Anolis sagrei: one gene and its partners. The protein of the gene in region 3 binds, or shares a complex with, the protein of the main gene of each other region. Links are inferred from orthologs where the notes say so. Each region holds a gene or a part of one and is shown on either strand. Other genes may lie near its edges.

What was found.
Region 1: POLR1E (region 3) and POLR1F share a complex: the UniProt entries of both Homo sapiens proteins name them as parts of the RNA polymerase I (Pol I) complex. The link is inferred for Anolis sagrei from reciprocal best matches to the Homo sapiens genes POLR1E and POLR1F.
Region 2: the proteins of POLR1E (region 3) and POLR1B are in contact, whole or in part, in a cryo-EM structure (PDB 8A43), measured with the Homo sapiens proteins. The link is inferred for Anolis sagrei from reciprocal best matches to the Homo sapiens genes POLR1E and POLR1B. Residues at the interface, in NP_071935.1 of Homo sapiens: Gln27, Ser29, Asn30, Gly31, Tyr69, Thr76, Leu79, Lys80, Cys81, Leu84, Cys85, Met109, Gln110, Pro111, Leu112, Phe113; in NP_061887.2 of Homo sapiens: Lys254, Ser258, Phe259, Ser260, Tyr262, Gln263, Gln266, Ser295, Thr296, Gln297, Ser338, Thr340, Glu341, Ala532, Cys535, Pro541, Ile542, Asp543, Gly544.
Region 4: POLR1E (region 3) and POLR1H share a complex: the UniProt entries of both Homo sapiens proteins name them as parts of the RNA polymerase I (Pol I) complex. The link is inferred for Anolis sagrei from reciprocal best matches to the Homo sapiens genes POLR1E and POLR1H.

What each region holds. Positions count from the first base shown.
Region 1 is NC_090026.1:94,695,049-94,702,264, reverse strand, and holds the start of POLR1F (DNA-directed RNA polymerase I subunit RPA43), read right to left. Parts: upstream 3,012-7,216; 5' UTR 2,882-3,011; coding exon 2,649-2,881; intron 1-2,648. UniProt on the Homo sapiens protein: Component of RNA polymerase I (Pol I), a DNA-dependent RNA polymerase which synthesizes ribosomal RNA precursors using the four ribonucleoside triphosphates as substrates.
Region 2 is NC_090021.1:24,390,887-24,398,891, reverse strand, and holds the start of POLR1B (DNA-directed RNA polymerase I subunit RPA2), read right to left. Parts: upstream 3,016-8,005; 5' UTR 2,970-3,015; coding exon 2,793-2,969; intron 1-2,792. UniProt on the Homo sapiens protein: Catalytic core component of RNA polymerase I (Pol I), a DNA-dependent RNA polymerase which synthesizes ribosomal RNA precursors using the four ribonucleoside triphosphates as substrates.
Region 3 is NC_090022.1:152,394,594-152,401,734, reverse strand, and holds the start of POLR1E (DNA-directed RNA polymerase I subunit RPA49), read left to right. Parts: upstream 1-4,124; 5' UTR 4,125-4,174; coding exon 4,175-4,232; intron 4,233-4,645; coding exon 4,646-4,749; intron 4,750-6,492; coding exon 6,493-6,569; intron 6,570-7,141. UniProt on the Homo sapiens protein: Component of RNA polymerase I (Pol I), a DNA-dependent RNA polymerase which synthesizes ribosomal RNA precursors using the four ribonucleoside triphosphates as substrates.
Region 4 is NC_090022.1:23,171,504-23,178,430, forward strand, and holds the start of POLR1H (DNA-directed RNA polymerase I subunit RPA12), read left to right. Parts: upstream 1-3,906; 5' UTR 3,907-3,986; intron 3,987-6,259; 5' UTR 6,260-6,280; coding exon 6,281-6,410; intron 6,411-6,538; coding exon 6,539-6,636; intron 6,637-6,927. UniProt on the Homo sapiens protein: Core component of RNA polymerase I (Pol I), a DNA-dependent RNA polymerase which synthesizes ribosomal RNA precursors using the four ribonucleoside triphosphates as substrates. Can mediate Pol I proofreading of the nascent RNA transcript.

The DNA of each region.
Region 1 (7,216 bases), on a different chromosome or scaffold from region 3:
ACATACACTGAAAAACAATGAATGATTTCCAGAGTAAAAGAGATCAAATCCTATTTACAGAATGTTTGCACAGATAAGATTGCCTGGCCCTCTTCTGAGTGTCATGTAGAAACAAGAACAGGTACTTTTGATTACAGAATTCATGTATGTGTGTGCGCGCATATGTAACTACAGAGAGACCTAGCTGTGGAGTTTATAAGGGGAAAAAAGTTCAGATATGAGTAGCATTGGGTTCTTGTAGGTTCTTTTGGGCTATAGGGCCATGTTCTAGAGGCATTTCTCCTGACGTTTCGCCTGCATCTATGGCAAGCATCCTCAGAGGTAGTGAGGTCTGTTGGAAATAGGAAAATGGGTTCATATATCTGTGGAATGACTGGGGTGGGGCAAAGAGCTCTCTGCTGAAGCTAGGTGTGAATGTTTCAGCTGACCACCTTCATTAGCATATGAGTAGCATTGTTTACCAGAATTACTTAAAATGATATAGAGACGATTTCAGCTATGAGTTAAAGGGTCCTACCCTTGAGGATCTTTCCTAAAGAAGTGATACAATACCATATATCTCTCCAAGTCACATCATCCATCATCACCTTTCGCAATGGTCCCTATGTGTGTGCATGCCTTCAAATCTTCTGTCAATATATGCCTATATCCATGTAATAATAATGTTGTTGTTCATTCGTTCAGTCGTCTCCGACTCTTCGTGACCTCATGGACCAGCCCACGCCAGAGCTCCCTGTTGGCCGTCACCACCCCCAGCTCCTTCAAGGTCAGTCCAGTCACTTCAAGGATGCCATCCATCTATCTTGCCCTTGGTCGGCCCCTCTTCCTTTTACCTTCTACTTTCCCCAGCATAATTGTCTTCTCTAGGCTTTGCAATAATAATAATAATAATAATAATAATAACAACAACACTTTATTTATATTGCATCCTTCTCACCCCGAAGGGGACTCTGGGCAGATGACAGCACATATACACGGCAAACATTCAATGCTGCTCTGTACAGACAATACACAGTCAGAACAGAAGGAGGTGGTTTGTTTCGATGCAGTGTCCAGCTGTTTTTGGTGCCATGGAAGGTTGGACTGGAGTCCAGGGATACTGTTGCTCTATCCTCTAAGACGAAAAGCCGTCACAACTTCCTCCTTCCTTTTTGGTCGCCAACATTTTCTGATCTTCTTTATGGTGTCATAACCACCACCACCACCACTTTTAGCGGTACCTAATTTCTCTAATTACAGCTAAAGCTGTTTTCGAATTGCTTAGGTAAGCAATGAGCTAGGCTGACCGTCGGCAGCTCACACTGACCTGGGGCTTCAAACTTGCACTCTTTCAGTTGATAGATCCTATAATTGCTGGTGATTTACCAGCTGTGCTAAACCTCTGGCCCTTAGGTCTGACAATGCTTTGCTTCCAAGATCAGACGAGACCTGTCGCTTTCAAGGTAATGTCCTACTCATGACTTAATTTCCCACACAGCCATATTACTCAGAATATCAAGGCAGGAAATCCCACATTATCTGCTTTGAACTGGACTAGATGGCAGTGTGGACTCAGATATTCTAATTCAAAGCAGATATTGTGGGAGATTTTGTGCCTTGATATTCTGGGTTATACGGCTGTGTGGAAGAGCCCCAAGTAGAACTGTCTGCATTTAGATCCAGTCTATGGGGTCTTTTATAAACATGTATTTTATAAATATTCATCCGGAGAGGCCCTGCTCGTGATTCCACCTGCGTCACAGGCGCGTTTGGTGGGGACGCATGACAGGGCCTTTTCTGTGGTGGCCCCCCAACTCTGGAACACCCTCCCCAAAGATCTTAGACAGGCCCCTACATTGGCAGTCTTTAGAAAGAACTTGAAGACCTGGCTGTTCCGACGTGCCTTTCCAGAATAGGAAACTCCAATAACAAGTCCCAGAAGCACTTTATTAGAACTAAGATTGCTGCACACCGCACACTGCACTTGCCCTACAATCCTTACATATCACCTGTCACATCAGCACTTTTAACCTTGTAAACATTACTCTGGCCTGGCCCAGTTTTATAGTGTCTTGATGTATTATTTATCACTTGTTGTTTAATATTGCTTTAACTGTTTTTAATTTGCTTTAGGTGTTGTATTGTTATGTTGTGTTTTGAGGCCTTGGCCTTTGTAAGCCGCATCGAGTCCTTCGGGAGATGCTAGCGGGGTACAAATAAAGTTAATAATAATAATAATGTCTATGTGATATAAGCACTAAATGATATACAAGCAGCCCCCAACTTACAAACATAATTAAGAACAGGGGCAAGACAACAGTGAGGGAAAAGTACCCCTAGGAAGGAAAATTCACTCCTGAAAGGGTTATCATGGCAAAAAGGTGCCTCCACTGAAACTTTATCTAAAAAATTGGACTTAGGCCAGATAGGAGAAAAGTTGGGCCCTCCGGGTGTTTTGGACTGCAACTCCCACCATTCCTAACAGCCTCAGGCCCTTTCCTTTTCCCCCTGAGGCTGTTAGGAATGGTGGGAGTTGCAGTCCAAAACACCTGGAGGGCCCAAGTTTGCCTCTGCCTGCTATAAAGTGTTTAAATTTTCCAAGACCAGCCTTGAGGCCTCTGTGTGGGGATTAAGAGAGGCCTCCACGACAGCGCCGCCCGGGCCCTGACCTCTCGGAGAAGCGGCGCAGCTCGGCGTCCAACTGGAGGCAGATCCCAGTCCGCTTCCGGTGGAGGAAGCGCGGCGGGAGGGCGACGTGCCTCCGATGAGGCATGACCACCAGGCAGGAGTAGCGACTCTCCGTCAGCGCCCGCGCCGCCTCGAAAGAGGGCAGCTGGGCGCCGAAGGGAGGAAGCGCCGCCGGAACTGGGACCGCGCCTTCGTCGTCTGTCTCCGCCGCCATCGCGCCTTCTGCGACGAATGTCTTCGGGGATCACTCCCCCTTCCCCGCACGAGGCGCCTCTCGCGCTCCCTCCCGTCGCCCTGTGATGACGCTGACGCAGTCGACACAAGCGTCAGGCCTCCCTCCAGACTGGGAGACAGCCCTAAGCGGAAGTGGTTCTGCCTCTCTTCCGGTGAGGGTGATGCGGCCGCCATCTTGGGAGTGGCTTGGCTCCTTTCGCTCCGCCCACTTCTAGGAGGAAAAGGGTATAGCTGTGTGGAAGGTTGCAAAGATCTCAAATACGCCTTAAACATCCCTGATCTGAAAGGCTTCAGACAAGAAGTGTTTGGGATTTTCCCCCTCCCTCCACCCAGATTTGGAATATCTTTATTTGTATACACAGTAGACTCTCAGGGCCCTTCCACACAGCCATATAACCCAGAATACTTACTTAGGCGATCCCTCCTTGGACGAGTAGGATAGTCTTCCAGGATCAGTATTCTTGTGGATCCCTAGGTGACTGTGGAGCCCTATTCTTGACCTCCATCTTCTCCCACAGTGAGGGCATTGGTTTACAGGTGGAAGGCGGTCTCACTTGGGGTTGGCTTGACGCGCCTTCCTCTTGGCACATTTCTCTCTTTCACTCTCCATTGTGCCTCTTCAAATTCTGCAGCACTGCTGGTCACAGCTGACCTCCAGCTGGAGCGCTCAAAGGCCAGGGCTTCCCAGTTCTCAGTGTCTATGCCAGAGTTTTTGAGGTTGGCTTTGAGCCCATCTTTAAATATCTTTTCCTGTCCTCCAACATTCCGTTTTCCCTTCTTGAGTTCGGAGTAGAGCAACTGCTTTGGGAGACGGTGGTCAGGCATCCGGACAACGTGGCCAGTCCAGCAGAGTTGATGGCAAAGGGCCATCACTTCGGTGCTGGTGGTCTTTGCTTCTTCCAGCACGCTGACGTTTGTCCGCTTGTCTTCCCAAGAGATTTGCAGGATTTTTCGGAGGCAGCACAGATGGCAGGCAGTGGGGCTGAAATTCCCAAAGGCCACCCCCCCCCCCAAAAAAAAATTTCATGGTGCTCCGTGAGAAGGCCTTACTGGTACATTATTTAAACTGTTATGTTTACTCATATCATGATCTGATCACCATACTCAATATATCCCATATGCATGGGGCTATTGGTATAACGAGACAAAAGGTTTGCAAGGGTAGATCTTCAGCCCCCCCCCCCCTTGAATCAAACTCAGCCCCTCATACAGCTGTGTGGAAGAGGCCTAAATCCAGTTCAATGCAGTTAATTGGCATCCTGAAACTGGATTATATGGCGGTGTAGATCCAGCCAAAACAGTTTGAATCTCCAAGACCCAAAAGGCATCCAGGCAGTTTCACAAAAGTCACTTTTCTTCTTCTTAGGCCTCTTCCACACAGCTGAATAAAATCCCACATTTCTGCTTTTTGCTGGGTTATATGGCAGTGTGGGCTCAGATAGCCCTTCCAGACAAGCCCTATATCCCAGGGTCTGATCTCGGGTTTTCTGCTTTAAACTGGATTATATGAGTCCGGACTGCCAGAAAACAGAAAATCTGGGATCAGATCCTGGGATATAGAGCCTGTCTGGAAGGGCTCTCAGTTCAAAGCAGATATTGTGGGATTTTCTGCCTTGATATTCTGGGTTACATGGCTGTGTGTATGGTCTTTATTTTCTTATACTTATTTATATCCTGCTTTTTCTCACCATATGGAGACTCAAAGCAGTTCACGACTAAAAGCATTGCAATACAACTTAAAATAGACAAATGTACAAGTATTAAAACAGTATTAAACATAATTAAAAGCATACAAAATCACAGCAGCCCCTGATGAGCTTAAAACCCTTCCTCTTTAAAAGCCTGCCTGAATAAAACGGTTTTAACCTGAGGCCTGAAGGACAGCAGGGAGGGATCCATTCTGGCTTCCCTGTGCAGGGAGTTCCAGAGTCGAGACGCAGCCACCGAGAAGGCCTTCACTCTTGTTCCCACCAACTGCGCTTGAATGGAGGTGGGACCAAGAGAAGGGCCTCTCCTGAAGATCTCAGTGCCAGGGCAGGTTTGTACAAAGGGATGTGGTCAGCCAAATAGCCTGGACCTGAGCCGTCTAGGACTTTAAAGGTCATAACCAGCACTTTGAATTGTGCCGGAAACAGATGATAAAAATATGATTTTTATTTTGATGGTCTTTAGTACATTTTGGGAGTTGCTGAGGCTCAGGCATGTAGCCGGGGGGGGGGGGGGCTTCAACCCCCCCGAAATTCTCATGGTGGTCTGCAAGAAGGCCTTACTGGTACATGCTCAATATATCCCATATGCATGGAGGTATTGGGGTAACAATACAAAAGATTTGCTAGGGTAAACCCTCTTTCACTCAGACTCACCCCCCCCCCCCCCCGCCCCAAAAAAATTCAAAATCCTGGCTACGGGTTGGTGAAGTTGGATCTACATTGCCATAGAATCACTGAGTTCAAAGAGACCTCATGGGCATCCAATCCAACCCCATTCTGCCATGCAGAAAAAGCACAATCAAAGCACCCACAACATATGGCCATCCAGCCTCTGTTTAAAAGCCTCCAAAGAAGGAACTTCCACCACAGAATGGTCAGTGTAAACTCATATAATGCAATAATAGAGTTAAACTGCATTATATGAATCTACACAATTGAACTGCACGCTATGGCAGTGTAAATGGGTTCAAGGTTATCTTTCCTCTTTCCTCTATGTTTTGCTATTCATTGATGTTTAAGTGAAGGCTTCTGGAAGCAACTAGTGTTTACCTTGTCAGTCGTAGGCAAGCTCATACAATTCCAATAGTAGAAATGGGAGAACTATTCTATTTTTTCCAGCTCAGGCTTCATTGCATTGTTTACTACAGACATGCTCTTGCAACTCAATGTTTCTCCAGCTCTTCTTCAGCATCCTCCTAATGTTGGTGCTCCTAAAAGGTATCTAGCTGGACAGAGGACAAGGAGGAGAAGCATTCCAGGCGGTTATAAAAAGTCTTAGAAAAAATGGAGTCTCAGGGCCCTTCCACACAGCCATATAACCCAGAATATCAAGACAGGAAATCCCACAATATCTGTTTTGAACTGGGTTATCTGAGTCCATACTGCCAAATATTTCAGTTCAAAGCAGATAATGTGGGATTTTATTCAGCTGTGTGGAACAGGCCTCACTATCAGAAACATTTAGTTTTATGTACAGGCAAACCAAAAGTGGTAATGAATAATAAAAGTAAATTTAGGAAGTAGTCACCAGGTGGCACAATTGAGCTTTGAATATATAAGCAATGTTTAACCCAAGTAAAATAGTGTAAAGGGATTCATTCCCCAAAGTTTAATATGAAAACAAACACATCATTATTCAAAATGTTTGCGCAAAGTTTGGTCTTAACTGCTCCTATTAATCTTAACAGTGTTCGCTGTTGCGACCTAAACAGTTTTGAGAGAAACTTGCATTCCTTTCCATTTGTTTTTGGCTGTTCTTCATATTACCTTTTGAGACTCTAGTGTTGGGCATTTCCAGTAGTTCTTCCTTAAGCTTTCATGGTGTCCCCAAATTATTTAACTTTAGAGCAAGGGGTACCTTTTGCCTTTCAGTTCTTTGGGAATACATATCCCCAAATCTCTCACAATCTGCTGTCTTGATTAAGGCTGGTGATATTGGTGTAAAATAGAGATTAAAGATTCCGCTGTATGTTGATATGTTATAGGGAGGCTGGCCACCTCCATTTTGACAATAGTTGTCTCTTCCCATAGCCTGCATTGTTTACTAATATCTGTCATTTGTGTTATGCAAGTAATTCTGTAACCACAATATTATGTGCCCAGATGTTACGGTTATATACAGTGCCAGACCCTGAGACGTCCTCCAACAAGAAATCCTAAAAACATTCCGTCCTGGTCACATAGACCTCAGATAAGGATTACCGCATATGCCTTAGAAATCACTCTATAAAATACTGACACTTGAAATAAACTTTATCTCGGCTGCGAGTAGCTTGGACAGAAGCTGTGCTGGGGCTCGGTACATTCTTTGGCCAAAGTTGTTGTTTGTTGTTGAATCTCCGTTTCAGATCCCATCTGAGCTTTGTGTCTCACCTGGAGAAGACCCATTGGGCTGATGTTTCAAATCTTACTTAAAAAGTGTAAGTAGGCTAAACATCTAGAGATCCAAGGCAAGTATATTCCAAAGTATAGTGTCAGCCTTATTATTCTTTATCTAAAATTATTATTATTATTATTATTATTATTATTATTATTATTTTGCATTAGGATTTGGCCCCATGTACTGAATTGTAGCCCCCTTAACCAGTTTTTGCCCTCGTTATTTT
Region 2 (8,005 bases), on a different chromosome or scaffold from region 3:
AAATGGCACCAATTTCCCCCTATTAGCTCTAGCTTTTGCGATACAGAACATGCCATCTGCCACTCTTCATCCGCTTGCCAAGAGAAAATAATGATGACCATATGTAAGAAACTAGAGCTCTCCAATTCAACTTTCTGAATCAGTGCCCCAAATAACTCCAGGAATATACCAACATATGTTTTGAAGTTGGAAGTTTGAAAAAAAAACCTGCAGAGAATGTTCTGTACGGTTCCGGTCCAGTGTATCTGTCCGAACGTATCTCCCTCTACGTCCCACCCCAGAGTCTGAGATCATCTGGGGAGGCCCTGCTCTCGACCCCACCGCTATCACAAGTGAGGCTGGTGGGGATGAGGAGCAGGGCCTTCTCGGTGATGGCCCCTCACCTGTGGAACTCGCTCCCGGGAGAAATTAGGGCATCAACATCCCTCCTCTCCTTCAAGAGGAAAGTAAAGACATGGTTGTGGGACCAGGCCTTTGGGCAATTTGACAACTAGATAAGGACAATCAAATGACTAGGACTGACAATGTGGAATTGGAATTTGGGCTATGAGATAGTGAACGCTGACCGTCTATGAGGAGTAATTAGGTTTGTATCGTTTTATTGGTTTTAGGGCTGTAATGCAGGAATTGTTTGACTGTTTCAACTGTTTAATTGATGTTATTTTGTTTTACTACTGTTATGTGATGTTGGCATCGAATTGTGCCTTTGTAAGCCGCCCTGAGTCCCCTTCGGGGTGAGAAGGGCGGGGTAGAAGAAACCGAAATAATAAATTGTGTAATCCTGTGTGATGGAATTTCCTATAGTGTATTTATTTATTTATTTATGACATTTCTATGCCACCCTTCTCACCCCGAAGGGGACTCAGAGCGACTTACAAGATATACATATACATACAATATATTAAATTATTAGTATAGTACAATGGCCATCTGTTGGGGATGCTTTGAACTGTTGGGGGTGCTTTGAACGCGATTTCCTGCTTCTTGGCAGGGGGTTGGACTGGATGGCCCACGAGGTCCCTTCCAACTCTATGATTCTAATATTCTAATCAGTAGATAAATAAAGTAAGACATTGATGTTGCAGTCATAAGAACAGGTCATCACATCTCTGGGTAGATTGTAAGAAATCTGGAAGGCCCAAGTTTGCCCAGGCCTGCTCTACACCGCCAGATAACCTGGGATAAGCAGATAATCCGGGATATTATTATTAACTTTATTTGTACCCCGTTAGTATCTCCCGAAGGACTCGATGCGGTTTACAAAGGCCAAGGCCACAAAACACAACACAAACAATATAACACCAAAAGCAAAATTAAAAACAGTAAAAGTAATATTAACGACATGCAATAGACAGTATATCATGACACAATAAAAACTGGGCCGGGCCAGAGTAATGGGTACAAGATTAAAAGTGCTGATGTGGCAGGTGGTATACGAGGATTATAGGGCAAGTGCAGTGTGCGGTGTGCAATAATCTTAATTCTACTAAAAGTGCTTCGAGGACTTGTTATTGGAGATTTCCTATTCTGGAAAGGCACATCGGAACAGCCAGGTCTTCAAGTTCTTTCTAAAGACTGCCAATGTAGGGGCCTGTCTAAGATCTTTTGGGAGGGTGTTCCAGAGTCGGGGGGGCCACCACAGAAAAGGCCCTGTCTCGTGTCCCCACCAGCCGCGCTTGTGACGCAGGCGGAATCACGAGCAGGGCCTCACCAGATGAACGAAGTGCACGCGTGGGTTCATAAATATAAAAGCTGTAAATAAATAAATAAATAAATGCGAATATATACACACACAAAACACACAGACTGGGCCACTGCACACATGCGCAGAACCACATATATAGACAAACACACATATATACACATATGCACAAATATATACACACACAAAACACATATACACAGACTGGGCCACAGCAACGCGTGGCAGGGAAGGGCTAGTAGATAAATAAAATAAGACATTGATGTTGCAGTTCTAAGGACATGTCATCATATCTCTGGATAGATTGTAAGAAAATTGTATTGTCGAAGGCTTTCATGGCTGGAATCACTAGGTTCTTGTGGGTTTTTTCGGGCTGTAGGGCCATGTTCTAGAGGCATTTCTCCTGACGTTTCGCCTGCATCTATGGCAAGCATCCTCAGAGGTACTGTGGTCTGTTGGAAATAGGAAAATGGGTTTATATATCTGTGGAATGGCTGGGATGGGGCAGTTTCAACAGAAAGGAAGAGACCATGAAAATGAACAAAATCTGGCTACCAGTATTAAAAAACTCTAAAATTACAACAGCAAAACAGCAGAGAGGAAACAACCAGGCACATCTTAACACCTCTCAACAAAAGATTTTCCCAGGCTCAGCCAGGCCTTCAAATGCTAATGAAGGTGGTCAGTTGAAACATTCACACCTAGCTCCAGCAGGGAAGAGCTCTTTGCCCCACCCCAGCCATTCCACAGATATATAAACCCATTTTCCTATTTCCAACAGACCTCACTACCTCTGAGGATGCTTGCCATAGATGCAGGCGAAACGTCAGGAGAAAATATGCCTCTAGAATATGGCTCTATAGCCCGAAAAAAACCCACAAGAACCTTGTAAGAAAATCATTTGAAGTGCAAAACACCTGGAAGGCCCAAGTTTGCCTAGGTCTGCTCTACACCGCCAGATAACCTGGGATAAGCAGATAATCCAGGATATAGGCCAGTGTAGGCCCAGCCTCAGTGGGGTTGGCAGCAACCTGCACCCACAGGCCAGGCCAGGCCTCCCTTTTTCCCCCCGTTCCTTCCTTCCTTTCACCTGCACGGCCCGGAGCAGCCCATCCCCGGTGGCGAAGTCGAAGGACTCCACGTGGGCCCGGGTGACATCCTGCAGGGCTTGCCGCTGCTTCTCTCGAGGAAGGCCGCGCTCCGGCGCCGTCAAGGGCTTCAAACTCGGGGCGCCGGGCAACCCTCGCCACTTGCACGCGGCCTCCATGCTTCGGACTCTCAGAGCCAAGCCAAGAACTCCAAGAGCCAATCAGGAACCGGAACAGCCAACCAGGAACTGTAACAGCCAATCAGGAACTCTGAGTCCATGCTTCGAACTCTTAACAGCCAATCAGCCTCCGCAGTTTCCACCTTCCCCGGTGCATAAACAGAACCGCCCACTCCCGGCATGCCGTGCGCTGATCACTTCCGGAAATCTCTTATCTGTATTGAGGGCTCTGTAGGCACTAGCTGCTTCCCTCACAAGAGAGGGAGGTGTGTGAGGGAGCTCACTTAGAATCATAGAGTTGGAAGAGACCTCATGGGCCATCCAGTCCAACCCCCTGCCAAGAAGTAGGAAAATCTCATTCAAAACACCCCCAATAGATGGCCATCCAGCCTCTGTTTAAAAGCTTCCAAAGAAGGAGCCTCTACCACACTCTGAGGCAGAGAGTTCCACTGCTGAACAGCTCTCACAGTCAGGAAGTTCTTCCTAATGTTCAGATGGAATCTCCTTTCTTGAAGTTTGAACTTACTTACTTAGGCGATCCCTCATAGCCCGAGGATGATGGACTTCCAAGTGTATTGTGAAAATCGCATTCAAAGCAGCCCCGACAGATGGCTATCCAGCCTCTGTTTAAAAGCTTCCAAAGAAGGAGCCTTCACCACACTCCGGGGCAGAGAGTTCCACTGTTGAACGGCTCTCACAGTCAGGAAGTTCTTCCTCATGTTCAGATGGAATCTCCTTTCTTGAAGTTTGAACTTACTTACTTAGGCGATCCCTCGTAGCCCGAGGATGATGGTCCTCCAAGTGTATTGTGAAAATCGCATTCAAAGCACCCCCGACAGATGGCCATCCAGCCCCTGTTTAAAAGCCTCCAAAGAAGGAGCCTCTACCACACTCTGAAGCAGAGAGTTCCACTGCTGAACAGCTCTCACAGTCAGGAAGTTCTTCCTAATGTTCAGATGGAATCTCCTTTCTTGAAGTTTGAACTTACTTACTTAGGCGATCCCTCGTAGCCCGAGGATGATGGACTTCCAAGTGTATTGTGAAAATCGCATTCAAAGCAGCCCCGACAGATGGCCATCCAGCCTCTGTTTCAAAGCTTCCAAAGAAGGAGCCTCTACCACACTCTGAGGCAGAGAGTTCTACTGCTGAACGGCTCTCACAGTCAGGAAGTTCTTCCTAATGTTCAGATGGAATCTCCTTTCTTGAAGTTTGAACTTACTTACTTAGGCGATCCCTCGTAGCCCGAGGATGATGGACTTCCAAGTGTATTGTGAAAATCGCATTCAAAGCAGCCCCGACAGATGGCCATCCAGCCTCTGTTTCAAAGCTTCCAAAGAAGGAGCCTCTACCACACTCTGAGGCAGAGAGTTCTACTGCTGAACGGCTCTCACAGTCAGGAAGTTCTTCCTAATGTTCAGATGGAATCTCCTTTCTTGATGTTTGAACTTATTTACTTAGGCGATCCCTCATAGCCCGAGGATGATGGCCCTCCAAGTGTAGTGTCTTGTTGGTGGTTCCATAGGTGACCATGGAGCCCTATTCCTGATCCACATGTTCTCCCACAGTGAGGACATCGGTTTCGAGGGAAGGCGTTGACTTGAAGCACCTTCCTCTTGGTACGTTTTTCCCTTTCGCCCTCCATTTGTGCCTCTTTGAATTCCGCATTACTGATGGTCACAGCTGACCTCCAGTTAGAGCGCTCAAGGGCCAGGGCTTCCCAGTTCTCTGTGTCTATGCCACAGTTTTTAAGGTTGGCTTTAAGCCCATCTTTAAATCTCTTTTCCTGTTCACCAACATTATGTTTCCCTTCTTGAGTTGGGAGTAGAGTAACTGCTTTAGGAGACAGTGATCATTGAACATCAAGAAAACCAACGTGCTCTTAATAATAATAATAATAATTACGATTGTGTTAAAACACAAAGTATGGATTGTTGATGTTGCAATCCCAGGTGACAGCCAGATTGAAGAGAAACAACTGGAAAAGCTGACACAATATGAGGATTTAAAAATCGAACTGCAAAGACTCTGGCACAAGGCAGCCAAGGTGGTCCCAGTGGTGATCGGCACACTGGGTGCAGTATCTAAAGACCTTGGCACACTGGGTGCAGTGCCTATTGGCCTGTACTTAAACACAATCAGCGCTGACAAAATTACCAGCTGCCAGCTGCAGAAGACCACCTTACTGGGATCTGTTTACAGAAATGCTGATTGTTTGAGAAATCAGTGCTGCAAAGAGGAAGTTACTTTTCAAGGATAACAGTACATCCGGACAAAACCGACTAGCTGGTGGCTAGTTTGAACCCCCAAGTTTCCCAGTCGCTCTGGAGCCATGTTTGCAACAGACTAACAGATAAGACTGATTTATTAAGACAGTCATGTTCTGAGAACAATAGACTATAGTTGGGCCATTGTTAGGATCCCACGTGTGCTATAATGTCAATCAAAATCATAAACCACCAATGAGCAACTGTACAGCTAGCTTAGACCCATGACATTATTTGTCTTTGGGAACCAATTAGAATATGTATGCTAAAAATGATAAAAGCTCTACAGCCCCATTGGGGGTTGCAACAAACCCTTTGATTGCATTCCTGAATGCATGTTTTGTCATTATTGCTATAGCCAAGCAATAAATAGTTTGTTTTTGTTTTTTGCAGTTTAAAGATTCAGCTTTTGTGAAGTCCTTCCTCGTCCTCCCCATATATATATTTTTTGCCCCTACAATTCGTGCAGTTGCTTCCAATTCTTCATGACCTCATGGACCAGGCCAGAGCTTAATAATAATAATAAAACTTTATTTATATACCGCTCTATCTCCCCAAGGGGACTCAATGGATGCTTAATGCACAATATTTCCAGAGTCTGCAGCCTGTGCCATTGTAAGGGTCCAAGAATTCAGCACCCTGGAGAGTTCTCCTCAATGGCCTCACTTAGGGTGCATCTGCACTATACATGGGCCAACTTGGGCCCTTCAGGTGTTTTTGGATTTCAACTCCCACAATTCCTAACAGCTGGCGGTGAGAGAACCAGATGAATGAGTGAGTAATAGTGAGAGGGCTACCCAGAACCATCTAAATGGCTACAAAGCTGTCACAGATAATATCTGGCCCCACTCATCAAGCTGGACACACTCTTGACCTTGTTTTTGTGGCGGACAACGAAATGATCAGAGTGGAAGATCAAAACATCCTTCCAGTGTCATGGTCTGACCATCACCTGATCACATTTAGACTTACTGCGACCCTAAACCTCCGCAGGGGTGGAGGACAAATTAAGATGGTCCGCCCTAGGAGACTGATGGATCCGGACGGATTCCTGAGGAATCTTAGGGTTCTTCCTGCCTTGGAGTCTGGCGATTCTATCGACGCCTTGGTAACTCTCTATAATGGGGAGATGGCCAGGGCGTTAGATACGATCGCACCTGAACGCCCCATCTCGTTGCGTCGTGACAGGCCATCTCCTTGGTTCACCGAGGAGCTGGCTGTGATGAAGCATACGAGAAGGGGGCTAGAGCGCAAATGGAGGAAATCTCGAGATGTGTCTGATCGAACACGGGCTAGAGCCTCTCTTAAGGCATACTCCGTGGCTATACGGGTGGCCAGGAAATCATTCACGACCGCTCGTATAGCATCTGCAGCAAATAGATCATCGGAGCTGTTTCGGGTCGTGGGAGAACTCCTCCACCCACCTGCGGTGGAGGAGGTCGCTGATGACCCTGCAGCTCGGTGTCGCGATTTCGCACACCATTTTGCAGGTAAAGTCGCCCAGATACGTCTTGAGCTCGACTCCAATTCCATCGCAGTGCCAGGAGAGGTGACGGAGGCACCTGCTTGTCCAACCTTGTGGGATTCTTTTAGGCTTGTTCTTCCTGAAACCGTGGAGGAGATTCTTGGGGCTGTGAGAGCGACCACCTCATCTCTTGACCCATGCCCATCTTGGCTCATTAAATCAGCCAGAGGGGGGTTGCTTGACTGGTTTGTACCGATTATCAATGCATCGTTGGAGCAAGGAATTTTTCCATCTAATTTGAAGCAGGCCGTGGTTCGCCCACTTATCAAAAAAGCTTCCCTTGACTCCACGGTGCTGAATAACTACAGGCCGATCTCCAACCTCCCCTTTTTGGGTAAAGTGCTGGAGAGGGTGGTCGCCTCTCAGCTCCAGGGTTTCCTAGTCGATACCAACTACCTAGATCAGTCACAGTCTGGTTTCAGGCCTGGTCATGGCACTGAGACAGCCTTGGTCGCCTTGGTGGATGACCTCCGCAGAGAGCTGGACAGGGGGAGTGTGACTCTGCTGGTTCTCTTGGACATCTCAGCGGCTTTCGATACCATCGATCATGGTATCCTTCTGGGTCGTCTCTCCAGGATGGGCCTTGGGGGCACGGTTCTGTCGTGGCTCCAGTCCTTCCTGGAGGGACGTACCCAGATGGTGAAGCTGGGAGACGCCTGCTCTGACCCCTGGCCTTTGTCCTGTGGGGTCCCGCAAGGCTCTATTTTGTCTCCCATGCTTTTTAACATCTACATGAAACCGCTGGGAGAGGTCATCCGGAGTTTTGGAGTTGGGTGCCATCTCTACGCAGATGACACACAACTCTACTACTCCTTTCCACCTAATTCCAAGGAGGCTTCTCAGGTGCTAGACGAGTGCCTGGCCGCTGTGTCGATCTGGATGAGGAAGAACAGGCTGAAGATCAATCCCGACAAGACAGAGGTCCTCCTGGTCGACCGTAAACCGGATCGGGGTATAGGGTGGTCACCTGTGTTGGACGGGGTTACACTCCCCCTAAAGCCACAGGTCCGCAGTTTGGGTGTCCTCTTGGATTCTTCGCTTACACTTGAGGCTCAGGTGTCGGCGGTATCCGGGAGGGCCTTTGCGCAACTGAGACTTGTGCGCCAACTGCGACCATACCTCGTGAAGGCTGATCTGGCCGGGGTGGTCCACGCCTTGGTCACCTCTAGAATGGACTACTGCAATGCGCTCTACGTGGGGCTGCCCTTGAAGACGGCTCGGAAACTTCAATTGGTCCAGCGGGCAGC
Region 3 (7,141 bases):
ACAGGTTGGGGACTGCTTTTCTCATGGAAGCTAAGCCGTCCAGGTTGGTACTTGGGTGGAGTACTAAGTCCTGTAGGCTATATTTCAAAGGAAGGACATGGCCAAACAATTTCTGCGCACTCCTTGTCTCAGGGCCCTTCCACACAGCCATATAACTCAAGAGTATCAAGGCAGATCATCCACAATATCTACTTTGAACTGGCTTATCTGAGTCCACATTGCCATATAACTTATTTATTTATTTGTTTCGCATATTTGTATCCCGTCTTTCTCACCCCCGGAGGGGGACTCAGGGCGGCTTCACAACAGGCATTCATTCAGTGCCAACAACAATAATAAATGATAAAAGCAATTAAAACAAATTGCCAGGTTTGAAGAGCGGGAAAGGGTGATGAGACAAAATTATAATAAGGGAAGGGAAGGGTTTTCAGTTAAGTGGATAAGAAATTGGGTTTTCAAATACTCAAAAGGATTTTTCCAAAGCTTAACAATAGGGACAAGAGTGGGATTTCTCACATACATTCCATTAAAGGTTTTAGCAAGTAACATTAACCTACCCAAGGGTGCATCCGTATCATAGAATTAATGCAGTTTGACCTTCATTTAACTACCATGGCTCAATGCGATGAAATCATGGGAGTTATATTGGCGATAATGGATCATGACCTGTTAGGATCACTGACCATCGGGGTATAAATCATGAACTGTTAGGATCACAATCTAATTAGGATAGCAGAGTTTATTTGGTAATGGATGGTCGCTGGGCATGTAGATATTTTGTTTTGGTATGACACTTTCAACAGAAAATGATGCAACCAGACTTCTATTAAAGACAACAAGTTTTGTTTACTGATAACTTCACGTATTTAAAGATACAGGCACATTTCTTGTCAAGGGTTAAAAACTTCAGTAACGTTTCAAAGAGTTTGTATCTTGAACTTATAACCTTTAACAGTTCCTTAATAAACTATGTTGTTTTATACAGCTCTCTTTAATAAGAGTTTACTTTCAAATAAAACACACACCTCAACAGTTTCTAATTTCCTAAGATGGTAATTGGAGGTGACCCTCCACTTCCAGGGCTCTGTAAAAGATAGTTCAAAATCAGGGAATTCATGGTTTTGCCAAGGACACCAGGCTGAATGGATCCCATAATCCCTATCTCTCTTTCTGTTTTTATGAATGGACTCCCGACTACTCAGTGCTCCCCTGAGCTTCCATGCACCCCTCCCCCATGAACTCTTATGAGTTCTTATGAACTTTCATGAGCTTTATAGGAATTTCTATAAACTCTTGCCAAATTTTTATGGACTTGGGGGGGGGGGGTGACTTGACTTCCCCTTAGACCCTGCATGATTCCCCCTTTTCCTGTGAACTCTGTGTATGTTCCCTTGCCCCATTCCTCATTCCCTATATGTATATATGTCTATATAAGAAAATATGAAGGAAAGCAACCTTTTCATAAACCAGCAACTCATGGCTTTTGGAGTTTCCAAACTGCCTGAGCTGATAATCCCCTAACAAAGGATTCAACCAGATCCATTTGCATGGACAATAGATAAATGACTCTATATATCTGGACATCGGAGGGCTGATAGCCAGGTCATCCAGATTAAGGGAGTCTGTGGACATATTGGATCACTCAACACCAAGGACATTTCCTCATCTACGAGGAACTAGGGATTTGTCACTGCATCCTTGCTGTGCCACATCTGGATCTCCAAAACTCATCTCTGTTTCATCAATGAACTCCATATTGCGCGATAGTAAAAACAAAGGACCTGGCCTTTCAGGGCCAGGCAAAAATGTTAATTCAAGAAACAGAAAAATAACTCAGACCAAGCTTGAGAGCCTGAAGCTATCGCCAGGTCATTTGGTAAACACTCGACATTCTTAATCCAGTCAACTAGACATTTCTTCATTGTTTTCCCGTTGCCTGCCTCCCTTCCACCTCATTGGCTGGGCAGATAAAGCAGGGCCAGGGCACTCCTTGGATCTCCTCCTGGCTTGCTGACGTCACAGCCACTCATTACAAAACCAGCTCAGGGTGGGCATGGGAACTTTTGAATCTGAAGGCTATAAATATTGTATTTTTCTGCCCAGTGAGTTATGTCAGCTCCTGGACAGATTACTGCGGTCGTCATCCGTGCCAGCTGGAATGAAATAAACATCTCGGTGGCTTTCCTTCAACTTGGTGAGACTATTTTGGGAAAAATTAGAGAAAATCTTCATTGGTGCTTGCTGTCTCGCCAGGTGTTCCAGATCCTCTTTTTGGGTCTGGCCGGTCTCTGCCTAGGCAGAGCCTCTCAAATTCAGGTTCGACATCAAGATGAGCTTCTGAACTCTTACAGACTTCTATACTGAAGCTCATTCAAGGCTTAACACACTTCTCTAAGAGTCATTCATTCCTCAACTGACATTCCCTAACAGTCATCCTGTTTACACCTGAACAGAGCTCAGACTTTTTAAAGAGAGGGCCAGGTCACAGTCCCTCAAACTGTTGGAGGGCTGGATTATAATTTGAAAACAAAAACAAAACATGAATGAGTTCCTATGCACAGTGCACATATCTTATTTGTAGTGCAAATACCACTTAAAAACAATACAATAATTAAAATGAAAAACAATTTTAACAAATATAAATTTATTAGTATTTCAATGGGAAGTGTGGGCCTGCTTTTGGCTGATGAGATAGGGTTGTTGTTGTTGTTGTGTGCTTTCAAGTCGTTACAAACTTAGGCTGACCCTAAGTGAAGGCTGGGTACATGACCTTGGAGGGCTGCATTCAGCCTCTGGACCTTAGTTTGAGGACCCCTGGTCTAAACGATCACTGAGTCAGTCATGTGACTTGCAGCCCCTCCCATTGCTCTTTCGGTATATAGAGATAAAGAAACTTCAAATCAAGTAAGACATATACTTCAGGTATATGTATTACAAAACAGACAAACATCATATAGAGGAGGCTTGAGAAAGTTGCTTCCCCCAACAAGTTATAGTTTACAAAGGTCTTCTTACTTTACTTAGGCAATCCCTCGTTGGACGAGTAAGATGGTCTTCCATGATGGGTTTCCTTGTGGATTCGTAGGTGGCTGTGGAGCCCTATTCTTGACCCACATCTTCTCCCACAGTGAAGGCATTGGTTTCCAGGTGGAAGGCGGTCCCGGTCGGGATTGGCTTGATGCACCTTCCTCCTGGCACATTTCTCTCTTTCACCCTCCACTCATGCCTCCTCGAATTCTGCAGCACTGCTGGTCACAGCTGACCTTCAGCTGGAGCGCTCAAGGGCCAGGGCTTCCCAGTTCTCAGTGTTTATGCCAGAGTTTTTAAGGTTGGCTTTGAGGCCATCTTTAAATCTCTTTTCCTGTCCACCAATGTTCCATTTTCCGTTCTTAAGTTCAAAGTAGAGCAACTGCTTTGGGAGACGGTGGTCAGGCATCTGGACAATGTGGCTGGCCCAGCGGAGTTGATGGCAGAGGACCATCGCTTCAATGCTGGTCGTCTTTGCTTCTTCCAGCACGCTGACATTTGTCTGCTTGTCTTCCCAAGAGATTTGCAGGATTTTCCGGAGGCAGCGCTGATGGAATCGTTCCAGGAGTTGCATGTGACGTCTGTAGACAGTCCACGTTTCGCAGGTGTATAGCAGGGTTGGGAGGACAATAGCTTTATAAACAAGCACCTTGGTCTCCCTACGGATGTCCCGGTCCTCAAACACTCTCTGCTTCATTCGGGAAAATGCTGCACTCGCAGAGCTCAGGCGGTGTTGTATTTCGGTGTTGATGGTCTTCACTGGTGCCTCACTAGACTATAGATCCCATGATTCCAGAGCATTGAAGGATAGCAATTGTAGCATGATCAAACTGCACTGATTCTACAGTGTAGATCAGGCATGAGCAAACTTTGGCCTTTCTGGCCCTGATCCCTTACCAAGGTGTTTTGGACTTCAACTCTCACAATTCCTAACAGCCTAAAGGACTGTTTGCCCCTGCATGGTGTTTACATTTTGTCAATGTAAATATGAGGAAAGGAGACTCGAGCCAGTTCCCCCTTCCTGCCTGCAGGTGGCGACAGAGGCTTCGTGGAGTGAGCCTCGCAGGCGGAAGGGGTTTGCTTGGGATCAAAGCCACTCCTCTTCCTGCAGCTGGACACACGCGGGGAAACAGAGGCATCCTTGGCCATGGAGGCTCGGTGGTGCTACCGGGGGGACCCCCAAGAAGGACAGAGCGCCCCTCTCGGTAAGGGATCGGGGCCAGAAAGGCTCTCAGTGCTGATTCTTCCCTGGTTTGGTCTTGCCTTTGCACCCAGGGCTCCCTTGCAAAGGCTCAAGCACGTGGCCGGGTCATTGAAGTAAATAAGCCCTGATCTCTAGGCCTGGAGTGCAGCCTGGCCCCACTTTAGCTGCCATGTCTCAATGCTATGGGATCCTGGGATTTGTGGCTTGTTGGTGCTTGGGAGAGAGGTCCCCAACTGATGACATATGCAGGAGACAAGGTGGAACTGTCCCTGTCCCCCTCTCTCTTCAGTCTGGCCCAGAGCAGCAGTTGATGCTGGGGGGAGAGGTTTAAGTTTAAGCATGACAAAGCATTCACAAAGGCTAAAATGCTGGTGTTACAATTTTTCTTACCTTTGTTTTCTCACTCATGCACAGTTCAGTTCACAAATGGCAAACTGAAGAGTTCTGAAAATATGACTTTCAACCTATACAGAAACAAAGACACCACAAACCCGAGAAAGAAGCAGAAAGTAACTTTGGTAAGCAGGTTTGGTATAGAGCAAGCTTGCTTTGTTAATTGACTGATAGACTGGTGAACAGGAATTGTATTTATTTGCTTACTTACTCAGCTATCCCACTTTTTTATTTGGTAAACTTATGAGAGTCACGAAGAGTCGGAGACGACTGAACGAATGAACAACAACAACATGAGAGGGTTACACAAAGCTCAAATGATTTTATTATTAGATTTTGAAGTTTTGTTATGGAACAATTTTGTCAATGTCTCTTCAGAGGCAAGAAATACAGTGTTCAGTGATATTTATTTCACCTCGATGGATATAGGATTGTAGCCTTAAATGGCAGATTTAAGTTTCACAGATATGGCCTCAAGTAAAGGTGAAGGTTTCCCCTGACATTAAGTTTAGTTGTGTCCGACTTTGGGAGGTGGTGCTCATCTCCACTTCCAAGCCAAAGAGCCGGCATTGTCTGTAGACACCTCCAAGATCATGTGGATGGCATGACTGCATGGCGGGGGAGGGGGGGATTTAGAAATTGAAATACTCACCAATAATTTTCATTAATTTTCATCGTTACCTTCCCGCAGAAGTGGTACCTATTTGCTCTACTTAAATTTGCATGTTTTTGAACTGCTAGGTTGGCAGAAACTGGGGATAACAATGGGAGCTCCCCCCGCTCCCCCAATTCAAACCACTAACCTTTCGGTTAACAAGTTTCACAGCTCAGCAGTTTAACCCACTGCACCACCGGGGCCTGTGCATGAATATATATATGTATGTGTGTGTTTATATACATACACATACACACACACACACAAGTATTCTTACCTGTTATATATTCTAGCGACAGGACATTCCTCCTCTTCCTGATGCTTACCTTAAAGTCACAGAAAATGCGCTCAGCATGGAATCTGGGTACCTTAAGACATAACTTAAAAAACAGAAATTTGCTTATTCAGTATCCATGTCTGGAAAATGGATTAAAATAAATGACATGTGCAGACATACCATTCCCATTGTACAAGGGTGAGTCAAAAGGTTTTGCTTCCTGTGTCATAAAAACATTATGAATGGTCATATAACAGCAGTCGCTACAGTTCATAGTTGAACTGTCACCATCCATTTGTACACATTTTTGCCATTATTCAACCCAGGCATCAAACCCATTTTGGAAAAATTCAGAGCTTTGCTTTGTGATCCATGTTTTTAAATCTGAAACCACATAGGTTGTCTTTCAGAGGTCCAAACAGGTAAAAGTCAGAAGGGGGCAAATCATAAACATTCTTCAAGCAATGGTGGATTCCCTTAGGTGTAAAACCTTCTTTTGCCAGAAATTTAATGACCGCTCTTTCTTTTACGTTCAGATTCATGGTTCTAATCAGTCAATTGGAAAACGAAAAGACTAAATCAGTAGAGTAAGGTTACCTCTGTTATATCATATACACATAGTTCAATAGCTGTGAAAGAAATAAAAGTTAGAGCGATGGAGGCATTACTATTTGACCCACCCTCGTATTATTTCTTTACATGTTTTGCATCAACTGCAGTGGAAGTGAGGAGAAGAAAATAAATAGATTGACATTGTGTGGCTGTTTGACATGAAGATTCCACTTTCTTTTAGGGTACTTTGAAAAGGCTTGAAGCCAATGGCTTCCCATTTTGTGGTGGGGAAAAAACTTTGAGCCTTTGGAGCATTTACTTTAGTTTTAAAACTTATTTTTATCCCCAAAAAAATCATTAATCTTTCTTTTTTTTCTTTTTTAGAATGCAGAAACAGAGAGACTTTCTTATGTAGGAAATAATTTTGGTGCAGGAGCCCTGAAGTGCAATACTCTATGCAGGTAATATATATGTGTGTGTCTGTACATCAGAAATAGATGTAATTGTATGTTTACTTGAGTTAGAATATCTGCATTGAAGCTAATCCTAAACTTGAATAAAATTACAAACGGAAATTGATTTGGGATAGTCATCTTTTTCTGTTGAGTTTTTTGTGGGGCGGGCTTTAGCACAGCAGGTTAAACCGCCAGCTGTAGAAAATCTTGCTGATTGAAAGGCTGACAGTTCAAGCCCAGGTTGGGGTGAGCTCCCAACCATCAGTCCAACTTCTGCTCACCTAACAGTTCGAAAACAGCAATGTGAGTAGATAAATAGGTACTGCTTTGGCGGGGAGGTAAAAAAAGGCACCTGTGCGGGTGATTCTATTGGAAGAGTGACTAAAGGACAACAAAGCTCCTCGGCATGGAAGATGGAGCGACAGCATACACACCCCGTGGTTGGAGTTGAGCACAGCCTCCAGATGCAGGAGATGGAAAAAGATGGGAAGCCTTTACCTCTGTTTATGTACTGTCTGTCTTTGTTCATTGTATAATGGCATTGAATGTTTGCCGTAGATGTGTCCCTTTGGGGAGAT
Region 4 (6,927 bases), about 130 Mb from region 3:
TATATGTAAACCAAAGAGTTGTTTTAAAATAAATTTCTTTCAATAAACATTTGCTTTCTATATCTATTTTATATACCTATATATCTGGGGTCATGTAAAAAAAAGTTCAGGGGAAAAGGGGCTGCAAGTGGGAAAACTTTAAAGAGCTCTGGCCTTGTCCATGCTTGTATTGTGCCTTCATCATGCCTCATGAATTCTATAGGGCTTTCTTGGGAAAGGAATACTAAAGATAGTTTTGCTGGTTCCTTCCTCTGAAATAGAGACTAAAGCATCTAGTATTTGTTGGTGGTACTTCCGTCCAAGTACTAACCAGGGCTGAGCCTGCTTAGCTTCCAAGATTTGATGGGACAGACTGGATGTGTTTTGATAATCTCCCAACTGAGATTAGCTTTGAGGAGAAAAGTATACTTTAAAAAGGCACAGCTTTTTTTTTCCAGAGTTGGTGCCACCTTGTGGCATTATTCAAATAAATGGCAAAAACTTCAGTCTGAAGCACTGAATACACTTTTTAGGGAATATGACTGACAAAAATGCACAAAACTTTTGATATGCAGGAGGAGGTAATGTTCACTTGTAGCAATCTGCCAAGAGAGATGGAAAGTGATAGGAAGCAAAGTGATAGACAGGAATGGAATGGTAGCCAGGCCTGAGAATGCAGTGATTTGAATGGTTTGTTAATAATACCTGTATCTTATCCTAATAACACATTGGTTCTTAAACAATTGGGCCCAACCTCAAATGTGGTCCCCTGAGCTCAATGCTGGAGTGCCCCCCCCCCTGCAAATGGCAACAGTAAAAGTCTTTCTGAATGCCATTTACATGAATCTGTTGTGCAGTGTTTACAGTAGTCTCTGCAGAAGATGCTTCAGCTGTACTTCATAAAAAGGAAACCCAGCATGTTTAGCCAACCTTGCAAATCCCAATTTTCTACCAGTACATTTTTGATGTTTATACCAATTTTGTATACCTATATATCTGGGGTCACATAAAATATGACTGGGCTAAAAGGGGTCTCCTAGGTGCAAAAGTTTAAGAAGCCCTGCTATAACATAAAGTCCCCAGGGAGAGTGAGGCCCCTTCTACACTGCCATATAAAATCCAGATTATCTGCTTTGAACTGGATTATATAGCAGTGGAGAAGAGGCCTGAGGCTGGATCTACACTGCCCTATATTCCAGGATCTTATCTCAGATGATCTGCTTTGAACTGGATTATATGAGTCTACACCGCCAGATAACCTGGGATAAGCAGATAATCTGTGATACAGGGCAGTGTAGATCCAACCAGAGAAGTAGAGAGAAAGATTGAGACAAAGTGTCTCTAGATTGGTTCCACAAAATGTGTGACTGAATGCCTCTTTACATCTGTTGATTGTACAGTAGGGTCTTGCCATTCACTGGGTTTTGGATACCAAAATCCATGGGTGTACAAGTCCCATTACACTATTTTTGTTCGTGGATTATAAATGTCATTTTCTAATTGGTTCTATCATAAGATCGTGGAAAAGGTTTATTAAACTTCGTTTTTTGCGGGACATCCTGCAACACATCTTGCTATAGTTTTTCAATTTCTCATCAAATCTCAACCAATTCAACACAGTTCGTGGCAGTCACAAAAAACGAAGTTTCTGGACTATGACAACTACTTTCAAGTAAGTACTGTACTATTAAACAGGAAACACTTTCAAACCAGAAACAGATTTTTTTTTTAAAAAAATGTTACATAGTGTTATATACAATGTCATGGTGAAATGTCACTTGCCTAAAATGGCAAAAACAAAACTTGCTTCTGCCTTTGTTTGTGTTTATGTGTCTCATTGTATATGATTGTAAATGCATTGACTATTTGCCTATGTTTGCCTGCTACTAAGAAGGATAATAATAATAATAATAATAATAATAATAATAATGGCTGTGATGGTCTGGATGAGGGCGAACAAGTTGAAACTGAATCCAGACAAGACAGGTCCTCCTGGTCAGTTGCAAGGCTGAATAGGGCATAGGGTTACAGCCTGTGTTGGACGGGGATACACGGGGGATTGCAGGTTCGCAGCTTGGGAGTGATCCTAGATTCATCACTGAGTGTGGAACCCCAGGTCTTGGCGGTGACCAGGAGAGCATTTGCACAGTTAAAACTTGTGTACCAGTTGTACCCATACCTTAGGAAGTCTGATTTAGCCACGGTAATCCACCCTCTGGCTACATCCCGTATAGACTACTGCAATGCTCTCTACATGGGGTTGCATTTGAAGACTGTTCAGAAACTTCAAATGGTCCAGCATGCGGCAGCCAGGTTGTTAACAGGAGCAGCACTCCCCTGATGCAACCCCCCTGTTGCATCAGCTCCACTGGCTGCCAGTCTGCTACCGGGCACAATTCAAAGTGCTGGCTTTAGCCTATTAAACCCTAAATGGTTTTGGCCCAGCTTACCTATCCAAATGTATCACTCCTTATGAACCATCTAGGACTCTAAGATCATCTGGGGAGACCCTGCTCTCGGTCCCGCCTTCGTCACAAATTTGGTTGTCGGGGACGAGGGACAGGGCCTTCTCAGCAGTGGCCCCTTGGCTGTGGAACACCCTCCCTAGGGATATCAGATCGGCCCCACCCTCCTATAATTTCGCAAAAAAGTTAAAACTTGACCTTTTGAGCAAGCATTTCCAAATGCAGTGTAGCAGACAACTCTGATCTACGGAACGACAATGCAATTGGATAATTATTTATATATCGTGTCAGGAGCAAACCAAAACAGTTGTATTGCATTAAACACAAACAAACAAACAAACAACACACAAAGTTTGCATACTTGGTATTCTACTGGATAATGATTGGATAATGATTTTAGTAATGAGATGCTGAGGATTTTGGTTTTTATTGGTTTTTACTATTTATGCCAAATGTTTTTAATTGTTTTATGTTGTTGGGGGCATCGAATTGTGCCGTTTGTAAACTGCCCTGAGTCGCCCTCGGGCTGAGAAAGGTGGTATATAAATATGGTAAATCAATCAATCAATAAATGTAGATGCTGTAATCTGCTCTGAGTCCTCTAGGGGAGAAGGGCGAAATATAAATAAAGTGTATGATGAGTCCTCTAGGGGTGTATGATAGTTATTATTGCTTTTGAGATTTTGTTTTAGTGTGGAGGGGGGAATATTTTAAATTTATGTTTGGCTGGATCCGTGGAAACAGAACCCGTGGATACAGAGATCTGACTGTCTACAAAAATAAAAAGAACTGGGTTGTTGTAGGTTTTTTTGGGTTATATGGCCATGTTCTAGAGGCATTTTCTCCTGACGTTTCGCCTGCATCTATGGCAAGCATCCTCAGAGGTAGTGAAAAGTAGGAAAATGGGTTTATATATCTGTGGAATGACTGGGGTGGGACAGAGGACTCTTGTCTGCTGGAGCTAGGTGTGAATGTTTCAACTGACCCCCTTAATTAGCATTTGATGTCTGTTGGAACTAGGAAAAGGGGGTTTATATATCTGTGGAATGACCAGGGTGGGACAAAGGACTCTTGTCCACTGGAGCTAGGTGTGAATGTTTCAACTGACCACCTTGATTAGCATTTGATGGCTTGGCAGTGCCTGGGGGAATCTTTTGTTGAGAGTAAACAATCAGGCACATCTAATCAGCTCTCAACAAAAGATTCCCCCAGGCACTGTCAAGCCATCAAATGCTAATTAAGGTGGTCAGTTAAAACAATACAATAAAAAAGAACATTTGAATCCCGATTATTTGGAGAAAGGAGAATCAAGACGGAGGGGAAGAAGACATTGAGTGTGTTCAAAGGGACAGAATACTAAACTAAATAATCAAACGTGCTAAGCTCCCATAGAACTGGCTACACTGTATCTCCGCTTTGAAACAGAGCGGAAGTGCTCATGGAGTGGAGGCGCTCTAGCTCAAGTTCCCTCCGAGCTCGTCTCTCCGAGAAAGGAAGTGAGTTCTGCCTGTGAACCCACGTGGAGCACCTGGATTAGAGTCGGTAAGAATCAGGGCTGTTCATTAGATTAGGCTCAGAGCTTACTTAAGATTTTTTGCTTTTTAGGTGTGCATCTACACTTGGGATTTGAAGTTTGGTGAGACACCAGCTCTTAAGGCAGGCATGGACAAACTTGGGCCCTCCAGGTGTTTTGGACTTCAACTCCCACAATTCCTAACAGCCTACGGCTGTTAGGAATTGTGGGAGTTGAAGTCCAAAACACCTGGAGGGCCCAAGTTTGCCCATGCATTCTCTAATCCCAATGCTGTATATACAATGGCATAGTTGCTTATATAAAATAGTAAAATCAGGGCTCTTGCTTTTTAAATTATGTGTGTGTGTGTTGGTGCCATGTGTTGTTGTGGCCCAGTCTAGTGATCTGGAAAACAAAGTAATGAGAAAGTGTTGGTTTCTAATATATAACTAGCCGTCCCCTGCCACGCGTTGCTGTGGCCCACATGGGTGTTCTGTGTGGGAGGTTTGGCCCAATTCTATCGTTGGTGGGGTTCAGAATGCTCTGTGATTGTAGGTGAACTATAAATCCCGGCAAATGTCAAGATTCCATTTTCCCCAAACTTTACCAGTATTCACATTTGGGCATATTGAGTATTCTTGTAGAGTTGTGGATCCATCATTGCTTGAGTCCACAGTGATCTCTGGATGTAGGTGAACTACAACTCCAAAACCAAAGGACACTGCCCACCAAACCCTTCCAGTATTTTCTGTTGGTCATGGGAGAACTGTGTGTCGTTTGGTTCAATACCATCGTTGGTGGGGTTCAGAATGTTCTTTGATTGTAGGTGAACTATAAATCCCAGCAACTAGAACTCCCAAATGTCAAAATCATATTTTTTTTTTTAGTGAAGGACATACATTGGGTTGTTAGGTGTCTTGTGTCCAAATTTGGTGTCAATTCCCCCAGTGGTTTTTGAGTTCTATGAATATCAAAAACGAACATTACATTTTTATTTATATAGATAATGATGTAATTTCTTTATGCTTGCAGGTAAATAGTATTTCTTGTTGTTTCTTTGTCAGTGTTGATTGTCTGGTTTGCCTACTCTGAAACATGCAACATATAATTGTTCTTCTTTAGGGACCTTTTGAAAATCTATGATACAATATCTGTCATATACATATGTCTCTGTGTGTATAGAATCATAGAATCATAGAGTTGGAAGAGACCTCATGGGCCATCCAGTCCAACCTCCTGCCAAGAAGCAGGAATATTGCATTCAAAGCACCCCTGACAGATGGCCATCCAGCCTCTGCTTAAAAGCTCCCAAAGAAGGAGCCTCCACCACACTCCGGGGCAGAGAGTTCCACTGCTGAACGGCTCTCACAGTCAGGAAGTTCTTCCTAATGTTCAGATGTGGAACCCTAACCCTAACCCTCAGCTCAGGAAGCTGGGGAAGTTGGATGGCTCTTTGTCAGGAGGGCTTTGATTATGTTTTCTTGCCCTGGTGAAGGTTGTTGGACTAGATGGCCTTAACACAGCATTTCTCAACCTGGGGGTTGGGACCCCTTGGGTGGGTCGTCAGGGGGCGTCAGAAGGATTGCCAAAGACCACCAAAAAACACAGTATTTTCTGTTGGTCATGGGGGTTCTGTGTGGGAAGTTTGGCCCAATTCTATCGTTGCTGGGGTTCAGAATGCTATTTGGTTATAGATGAACTATAAATTCCAGTAACTACAACTCAAGGTCTATTTACCCAAACTCCATCTGTGTTCACATTTAGGCATATGGATTATTCGTGCCAAATTTAGTCTAGATCCTTCATTATTTGAGTCCACAGTGTTCTCTGAATGTAGGTGAACTACAACTCCAAAACTCAAGGTCAATACCCACCAAACCCTTCTCGTGTTTCCTGTTGGACATGGGAGTCCTGTGTGCCAAGTTTGGTTCAATTCCATCGTTGGGAGAGGTCAAAATGCTCTTTGATTGTAGGTTAACTATAAATCCCAGGAACTACAACTTCCAAATGACAAGATTAATTTTTTAGTGATGCTCACTCCTTGGATTAGTAGGTAACTTGTGACCAAATTTGCTGGCAATTAGTCCAGCGGTTTTTGAGTTGTGATGTTACTCAAAACGAACATAGCCTTTATAAATAGATAGATAGATAGATAGATAGATAGATAGATAGATAGATCGATAGATTCAAGTCATGTATAGTTGAATCTGTTGATGTGGGCTCTCTGGATACAGAGGGATTCTAATCGCACAGGAATTATAATTAAAGGATGCTCAACCTATACATCTTCCCTCTCCTACAGTCTGTCTTCTCCTTGGTCAATATGGAACAGAATAGTTCCTGCTTTGAGTCAGAACTAGATTTCTGTCCTGAATGTGGTACAGTCCTTCCATTACCAGGTCTTCAGGATAAGGTGGCATGTCGCTATTGCGCCTTCTTCATTGATGTGCAAGGTAAGGGCTTTCTGCCTCTAGAATATTCCATAACCGGAGGTGGGGTATTTAGTAAACATGTTTTTTAAAAATGGGTGAGTTAGAGTACATATGCTTCTTATCTACACATGTGTTTATTAACTTCACAGAATTTGAAAAGAGAGTTATTGATACATCAGTCACCTTCAACAGGACAGATACCACATCTTCGGAAGTGGATGGAGGAAAAGCAGTCAAAGGACCACTGGTGAGTGAATGGGGAAGTGAAATGAGTAATTATAATGCTAATAATTTCATGTGTCTATAGCAAAACATATGAAATCCTATTTCCTTTTATCATGGCTGGAGAACCTGTGGCCATTTAGACTGTAGTTTCCATCAACCGTAGCCAGCTTGATCAGTGATGATGGATGATAGAAGAAGTCTTTGATCAATATTTGGGGGTGCCACAAGTTCCCCATTGTGCTTTATTCCAAAGGGAGAACAAGATGTGTCAAAAGGACTGGTGGTGTAGTGCCATGTAGGCTGTGCTATTATT